Linked DNA regions of Coturnix japonica. The protein of the gene in region 2 purifies or fractionates together with the protein of the main gene of each other region. This does not show direct contact. Links are inferred from orthologs where the notes say so. Each region holds a gene or a part of one and is shown on either strand. Other genes may lie near its edges.

Evidence for each region.
Region 1: the proteins of TLE1 (region 2) and FOXG1 purify together in Homo sapiens (affinity purification with western blotting; 3 studies listed by BioGRID and IntAct, with this or other methods). This does not show direct contact. The link is inferred for Coturnix japonica from reciprocal best matches to the Homo sapiens genes TLE1 and FOXG1.

The regions. Positions count from the first base shown.
Region 1 is NC_029520.1:31,592,638-31,596,954, forward strand, and holds the start of FOXG1 (forkhead box protein G1), read right to left. Parts: upstream 2,859-4,317; 5' UTR 2,397-2,858; coding exon 1,062-2,396; 3' UTR 1-1,061. UniProt on the Homo sapiens protein: Transcription repression factor which plays an important role in the establishment of the regional subdivision of the developing brain and in the development of the telencephalon.
Region 2 is NC_029547.1:35,427,688-35,431,247, forward strand, and holds part of TLE1 (transducin-like enhancer protein 1), read right to left. Parts: intron 1,955-3,560; coding exon 1,705-1,954; intron 1-1,704. UniProt on the Homo sapiens protein: Transcriptional corepressor that binds to a number of transcription factors. Inhibits NF-kappa-B-regulated gene expression. Inhibits the transcriptional activation mediated by FOXA2, and by CTNNB1 and TCF family members in Wnt signaling.

The sequences.
Region 1 (4,317 bases), on a different chromosome or scaffold from region 2:
TTTTCTTTTTTATTTCTGTGTGTTCATAGTAAACATTTTTGTAAGTGACAAACACGGGCATATGACCACAGTATCACAATCAAGAAATTTTAAGACAACATTAACAATCACTCAAATTTATGCGGCATTTGCGCAACACAGGTTACATATTTGCAAGGTTTACCTATAAGTACAATAGGTATTAACATTTCACTACATTTAGGAAAAAATAAAAATAAAAAATAAAGGTGACCTGTTAGTGACCACATACATCAAAATATACACAACACAAACTGAAGGCAATCAGTAATTTTGTCCCCTTCGGAATCATTGGAACGGGCAGTGCTGCGAACTGAAAGAATGCGGCTGCTTTTAAATTACTCCGTACACTGAGTGCATTTTCTATAACCCAATCTTTGGTCTAAAAGTAAACAAACAAACAAACAGGAAAAAAAATAATAATAATTAAAAAAAAAAAAAGGAATTAAAAAAGAAGAAGGAGAAGAAGAACCCCCCCCCCCCCCAAAAAAAAAAAAAAAAAAAGAAGCAGTTAGGTAAAGAAAAAGATAAAATTATAAATGGCCAAAACGTAGTTTTTGGGCATCTCTCAGTATGAATCTGCTTAAATACAAATTACACTTCTTTTTATAGTTTTCATAAATCTAGTGGCTTTTTTTCATGGTCTGCACCCACCGACATATCCATGATAACTTATAATACTGCAAACATGGAGAATCTGGCGGCTTTAGAGATGGACTTTTCGTATTTGAATAGGAATCGCGAAAGCAGTCACTATTAGATACACATTCTACTAGAAATTTGTCTCCCAAACTCCATAGTCTACAATGTAATCTCCCCACATTGCACCTCGCTGACACTCCTCACCCTGGTGGCATAATAAACAACCCTAAAGACTGAACAAACGTACAGAAAATGGGGGACTTAATAAAAAATACCTGGGCTTTTTGTTTTTCTTTTTTTTTTTTTCTTTTTTCTTTTTTTCTTTTTTTTTTCTCTTTTCAATCATCATTTACAACGCGAACGTGTGTAAAATGTTCACTTACAGTCTGATCCCATGGACGTTAATGTATTAAAGGGTTGGAAGAAGACCCCTGATTTTGATGTGTAAAATAATCGGAGAGTCCTCCAGAGAGTCCCGTCGTGAAACTCGGCAAAGAGGGTCTTAGGGACTCGCAGGGCAGGGTGGAAGGTGCCTGCGGCGATGTGGACGAAGAGGCGGCCCTGGCCGTCATCGAAGTGCTGCTCTGAGAAGTCATTGAGGGGTGAGGGACGTGGGGGAAAAAGTAACTCGTCTGTCCCGCCAGGAGGTTCACGGAGCAGGGATTTAGGGAGTACGTGCCGGAGCAGGGGACCGACAAGCCGCACGGCACCGAGGCGGCCAGGGCGGCGGCCGTGAGGTGGTGAGTGGCGTAGGGGATCTCCCCGTTGACGAGTCTATCGACGCTCAACCCGTTGGACGTGGAAAAGGAGTGATTGTTCCCCAAGGAGTTCTGAGTCAACACCGAGCTGTAGGGCATGGGGTGGCTGGGGTAGGCGGACGCGGTCCCGTTGTAGCTCAGCGTGCTGCTGGCCCGCGGGTGGTGAAGGGACAGAAAGGGGGACATGGGCCAGTAGAGGGACCCCGCCCGGTCCATGAAGGTGAGGCCGGTGGAAGTGAGGCGGGCGCCGCGCTTGAAGGCCAGCTTGGCCCGGGAAGTGGTGGAGCGCCGGCGCAGCTTGCCCGTGGTGCCCCCGATGAAGACGTCGTCGCTGGACGGGTCCAGCGTCCAGTAGCTGCCCTTGCCCGGCTTCTTGTCGTCGCGGGGCACCTTGACGAAGCACTCGTTGAGAGACAGGTTGTGGCGGATGCTGTTCTGCCAGCCCTGCTTGTTCTCGCGGTAGAAGGGGAAGCGGTCCATGATGAACTGGTAGATCCCGTTGAGCGTCAGGCGCTTCTCGGGGCTCTGCCGAATGGCCATCATGATGAGCGCGTTGTAGCTGAACGGAGGTTTCTCGTACTTGCCGTTCTTCTTCTCGCCCTCCTTGCCGCCCTCCCCGTCCTTGCCCCCCTCGGCCGCCCCCTTCTTCTCCTCCAGCTCCGCCGCCGCCGAACCCGCCTCGCCTTTCCCCGACAGCGCCTCGGCCTTGGCCGTCTCCAGGGCGCCGGCGGCTGGCGGCGGCAGCAGCAAAGGCGCCTTCTCCTCGTCCTCGTCTTCGGCCGCGGCGGCGCGCTGGGGCTGCTGCGGCGGCGGCGGGTGGTGGTGGTGGTGGTGATGGTGGTGGTGTGGATGGTGGCTGTTGTGGTGGCTGTGGCCGCTGTGGTTGTCGCTCTGCACGGCTTCGGGCACCAGGCTGTTGATGCTGAAGGAGGACTTGGGCAGCATTTTCACTTCCTTCCTATCTCCCATGTCCAACATCACACGCTGCGCCGAGGGGGCGGCTGGCGGCGGCCAGGGCCGGGCGGGCGGGGGCCGGGCGGGCGGCGGCACCACCGGCGGCGGCGGCGGCGCGGCGGGAGCTCAGCGTCAGGCGCTGGCACGGCATGTAGCACGGGCGGGGGACGGCGGCAGCGGTCACCGAGCGGAGAGAGCCGGAACGAAGGGGGGAAAAAAGAGGAGGAAAAAGGAGTAAAAGAGCCCTCTAAAAACCAAACAACACCAGCAGCAAAAAAAAAAAAAAGACCCAAAGCCGCGCAAACACACACACACACACCAAAAAAAAAAAAAAAAAAAAAAAAAAGCTACTTCATGGTGCCGGTTCCCCGGTACAGCGGTGTAGGGGGGAGGACGCGCCGCGGGTCGGAGCAGAGCCGGCTTTACGGAGCGCCCCGGCCGCAATTAATTTCAGAGCTGCACACACGCACCGTGCCTGTAAAAAATTTTTTGGTTTAACCTTTCCCACCGGGCGCCCAATCAGCGGCGGCGGCGTGCCCGAGCGTCCTGCCTCCCGCCGGCCAATGGCTGCTCGCCGACACGCCCCCACCCCCCGACGCCCCGCCCCCTCTCCGTCGCGGCTCCCGCGGCGCAGGGATACCGGTGCGGGGCGCGTCACCGGCCGTGCTCCTCCGCGCGACGGCACTAAGCCCCTCGTGCCCAACCAACGGCGCTCGGTTCCGGGGTTTCGCTCGGTAACTCCTCCGGTGGAGCAAAGTTGCCCCGACCCTCCTTGCTACCGGGGCGGGAGTCGGACGGGAGCCGGGGGGGGGCGCGCCGTCCGCGCGGTGCCGGAGCGGAGGTACTACTTGGCGAATCCCGACGGCGCCCGTCGGCAGTGTGCTCCTGGGCCCCGCCGCGCTGTTGTTATTTATTTAACCAACGGGGAGCAACGAAACTCAGCCGGAGGGGTCGGGACGGCGGGGCGGGCGTTGAAGCTGGGACCGGGCTGGGGCTGTGCGGTGGAAGGGGCTCGGGCTCGATGTGGCGGAGACAGCGCCGGGCGGGTAGAGGCCTCTGGCCGAGGCCTGCGGAACAGCAGCACCGCCGAACGCATTAAGCGCCCCAGTACCGGCGCAGCGCCTCGAGCAGCGCCTCGAGCAGCCCCTCCGTCGGCCCCGGTGGGGCTCGGTGTGTGGGCCGTGGGAAAGGGAACGGGGGCTCCATTCCGGCGGTGCCGTTGGTTCAGGGGCTCACGGAGCGGGCTGCGCGCTGCCCGGGCTCGGCGCTGCTCCCCGCATCGCGGCGTTACCGCCGTGAGTACGAGCAGAAATGAGAATCGGCCCCGAAACAAAGCAAAATGAGCTTCCTCGCACTGAAAGGAGAAGGGGAAACGTGAGCGATAGAGTATTGGTCACGTTTAAAATGAACGCTGTGCAACACAACGTACAGCCGGTGCCTGTCGCTGCGTTCAACCACCCAAAGTTCATGTTTGTCCCGCTGGAGAAATGGTTCCGTTGAAGTGTAACACCCGCAGCCCTGCCCCAGCAGTGTGTCCCGGGAAATCCAGTGCAGATCCCAGTGCAACCACCACGGCTCTGTGCCTTTTCTGTATGCGTTTGTGAGTATGTGCGTGTGTGAGAGAGCGGCTGTGAGAAAGGGAGGGTAAATCCCTACAACAATTGCTGTGGATGGGCAATAAACAATTGCAGTTGGGCATGGCACGAACTATGTGCGTTGGATTAACCTCGCTTGACCTCACCACAATTGTATTTATTTATCCAATTTCGTAACAGGTTGCTACTGACCAAAAAGAAGTAGAAGTCAATGATCAGCTACCTTCGGCTTTTTCTTTTTCAGAATTGCTGTTGTATTTTATTTTTTAAATATCGTGATAATTTGTAATTATTTCCTTGCACAACACTGAAGCCAATTGATGGGAACTCCTGAAGAAGAGTGCAGTGTA
Region 2 (3,560 bases):
TCCATCTCATTACATTAAGACAGTGCCAAAGTAAGCTTGCACTTGAGAAAGTGTAGTCCAATTACAATCACCAGCATCACTGGAATATTTGCAAAAAACAAAGCGACTTCACATGTGATATCTAAGCAACCACTTATGAAAATACAGTTGAAGTCTCATGTCTTTTAGATCTTACAGTTTTCTTTTAAATTACATCTTACATTCATCATTTTAAAGTGAGAATGTTGAGTTATAATATTCCCCTTATAGTACTGGACTTATGCTGGTTCTCTTGCTCAGCATCACTCCTGTCATACTCATACTGGTTTCACATTTTTTGATACTATTGCTGATGGAGATACTACAAAAGATTTAGAGATGGAAAAGATTTCAATCTTTACATATTACAAAGCTGACTTCTTAAGCATACTGGCTGTCCAACATAGTAACAGTTCTCTAGGAACTGTTGTGTGCCCCAGTGGCGCAGTGGTTAAAGACGCCGCCTTGCAACACTGGGGCCCGGAGTTCAAATCCCCCCTGTGGCGCAAGTGGTAGAAGTGCCGCTCTGCTACACAGAGGCTCGAATCCCGGGGGCTGGTTCGATGATCTCTAAGGTCCCTTCCAACCCGCACGAAACTATGAAATGCAGGGATAGGATCAGTAACCCAAAACAAACAAAAAACCCCACAACACTAAGTAGAAATCAAAGACACTTCTACTACTATGGGATTGCTGTGGTTGTTTTCTTTGTTTGTTTGTTTGTTGTTTGCAGTGGTGGTGGTTTTGTTTGTGTTTTTGCTCATTTGTTTGTTTTAAAATCACAGAAAGGGAGCAGCAAGTAGTGCACTGGGAATGTCAGCTTAGCTATTGGCAGCTATACAGATCTGTAACTAAAGCAAATGCAGCTAGGACTGAGCATTGAGAGACAAACCTGCCACAAAACAGAATACATATTTAACCATACATACACCACTACTGGACAACTGACATGGGCATATCAGCAAATGAGAGTTAAAGTTTGAAAAAACACATTTATTATGATCAACATGTAAGAATTACTATCATCTGTAATATATATTATTGTGCTTTATGATGTTATACCTTCTCAGTTAACACTACTCTGATTTGCCTCTTTCTATGCTGTCTACACTGCGTTAGTCTAAGAGGCATCTGTTATTTAATATTTTTTTGTATTTAGCTTTTCAACTGACTGCAAACAAATCAGCTTGCACCTGATGGATATGAATAGAAACCAGCAAAAGTACAGCAATACGAAGTAACCTTGCTACCTTGTCACACTACTTCTTTATATGGCTACTACCCTCTTACAGAAAAAGACACCATGATTTCTGGCATGAGTGAAACACCATGTAATGTCCCTGTCTCAGCCATGCTTCCTTTTAAACCCATGCTGTGCAAAGATCACCAGTATGACTTGGATGGGGAAAGAATCAGGTATGCTCTCAGAAGTCTTATCTATTATTTGGCCCTTAGTAATGACATTTATCACTAAACAAACCAGTCTCCTTCTCTGAAACACCACCTGTTCATTGTTACAAAAAAAAAAAAAAAAAAAAAAAAAAAAGTCAGTTAAATACATACAGCAGGAAACAGAACTGCCTGCTATTTCCTTATAATATGAACAAAATCCAGACAAGGACAGCTATTTCCTTATTGAGTCTCCAAGGTGAAGTTACCCTTCTACATTAGTTCCTGTTCACTTACCAGGCAGTCGAGCTGAGAGACAGGGCTCTTGTTGCCAGGCTGGCTGATATCCCAGACTTTGACACACCCCTTGCCACCCGTGTACACATGTCTTGTGGGGTTGCTGATGGTAACTGCACACACAACTTCCCCATGATTCAGAGTGTTGATCTGACGGGCATGGCGAGGGATTCCCGGACCAATGAGGGCATCAGGAGGGAAAGGAACAGGCTGCATCTGGCCATCTGCAGTAACATGAAAGGAGTAGGCTCTTTTGGGGAAAGGAAAGATTGGAGAAGAAAAAATATATATATCAGCAAAGATATGTGCTAAAATGACAGAAAAAGACAGTACTTTGTGTGTTTTGGTTTTTTTTGTTTGGTTGGTTGGTTTTTGTTTTTTTAATTTTCATGAGAAAAAGGCTAGAAGAGCTACAGAGCCAAGCCAAATAACATGAAGTACATGAAACCTCAGAGAAAGAACAGGATTTACAACAGCCATTTTCAGCTTTCACGTTTCAACTAAACTGTGCACTGGGAAAGCACATTAAAATCTCATATTAACTCTATGAATCAAGATCATGGCCATCACACTGCCATTTGGACCATTAAAAGAGCTTTCAGCTGCTGCTTTCTAGTCAGAGGTTCTGACACTGGTCTCAGCACAAGTCCTGCAGCAGCATTTCCTGACCATCTTTCAGATGTATTCCATGAAGCTTGCACCTGTTGCCCTGGACTCTTAAGTTCAGCTTGTCCTCAACCTATTTCAGCACCTCATCTTCAACATCAGCACTGCCTGTGCTAGTATGTCTCTCTTTCCAGCTGGGAACTAGTTTTGTACATAAAATAGTAACATGCAGAGTGCATGTACATTCTTTCCTCAGATGATGATTAAAATCAGTTCAACACAAAGACCAGGGCAGAAAAAGCAACAAATAATGGTTTCAGATTTAGGGTGGTATTTTTGTTTTTTAGAATAATGAAAATACTACTGCAAAAGCTGTTTTTATTATACTGGTGAGATACTGCTGTTACACTCACTGCATTCTTATTCAAGAGAGCAAAGTGGTAAAAAACATGTAATGTTTTTACTAATAGGATACCTTCTCCCAATTATACAATCATTTTTTCTAATACGCTTTTGTTCTCAGGACTGTACTTTCTTTTCCAAACATACCTTCTTCCTCATAAAACTTCAGTTACTATAGTTCAAATTAAAAGCATTGCATCGATCTTCAACAGAGCAAACAGTAGGTAATTCAATTTATTTTTTGTTCTAAGCAAGTAGTTTTCAAGAATTTTATTGCATGTTTCCAAGTATTGCACAGTTTGAAAGAAAGGAACAAGTAAGATTGCTGTACCTGTAATAGGTACCACAATGTACTTGGGCTTGTTTCCTAAAGCAACTGAGTATGCCTAGGAGTTGATAAGAAGATATTTGGAGTCAGAAGAAAATAAAAAAGGCCCTATTTTTATTTCATACAGAAGATAACAGTAGTGTCACACAAAGCAATACCACAGTCTTCACCACAGGGGAAGGGCAATAGGTAGTTGACTGTAATTGCTATAAACCAAAGAAGAAGTCAAGTGCATACACATGCAATTCCTGTACCCTATTCATGTTTTGTGGTTGGACAAGTGAAATGAAGATATGCTCAGAGAATGCACAAATAAGAGAATGAGGAAACAATAAAGATGACAAATAAAACCGATGAGGAAAACCAGATAAGGAAATTTACTCCCTTATTTGTATACAAGTTGCAAAGTGTATCAGACACATCTCCCATGGAATCCTTTCCCTTTTTCTCTCCCCCTGCCGCCCCCCCCCCCCCCCTTTTTTTTTTATTTCTTCTTCTTCTTTTTTTTTTTTTGTATAAA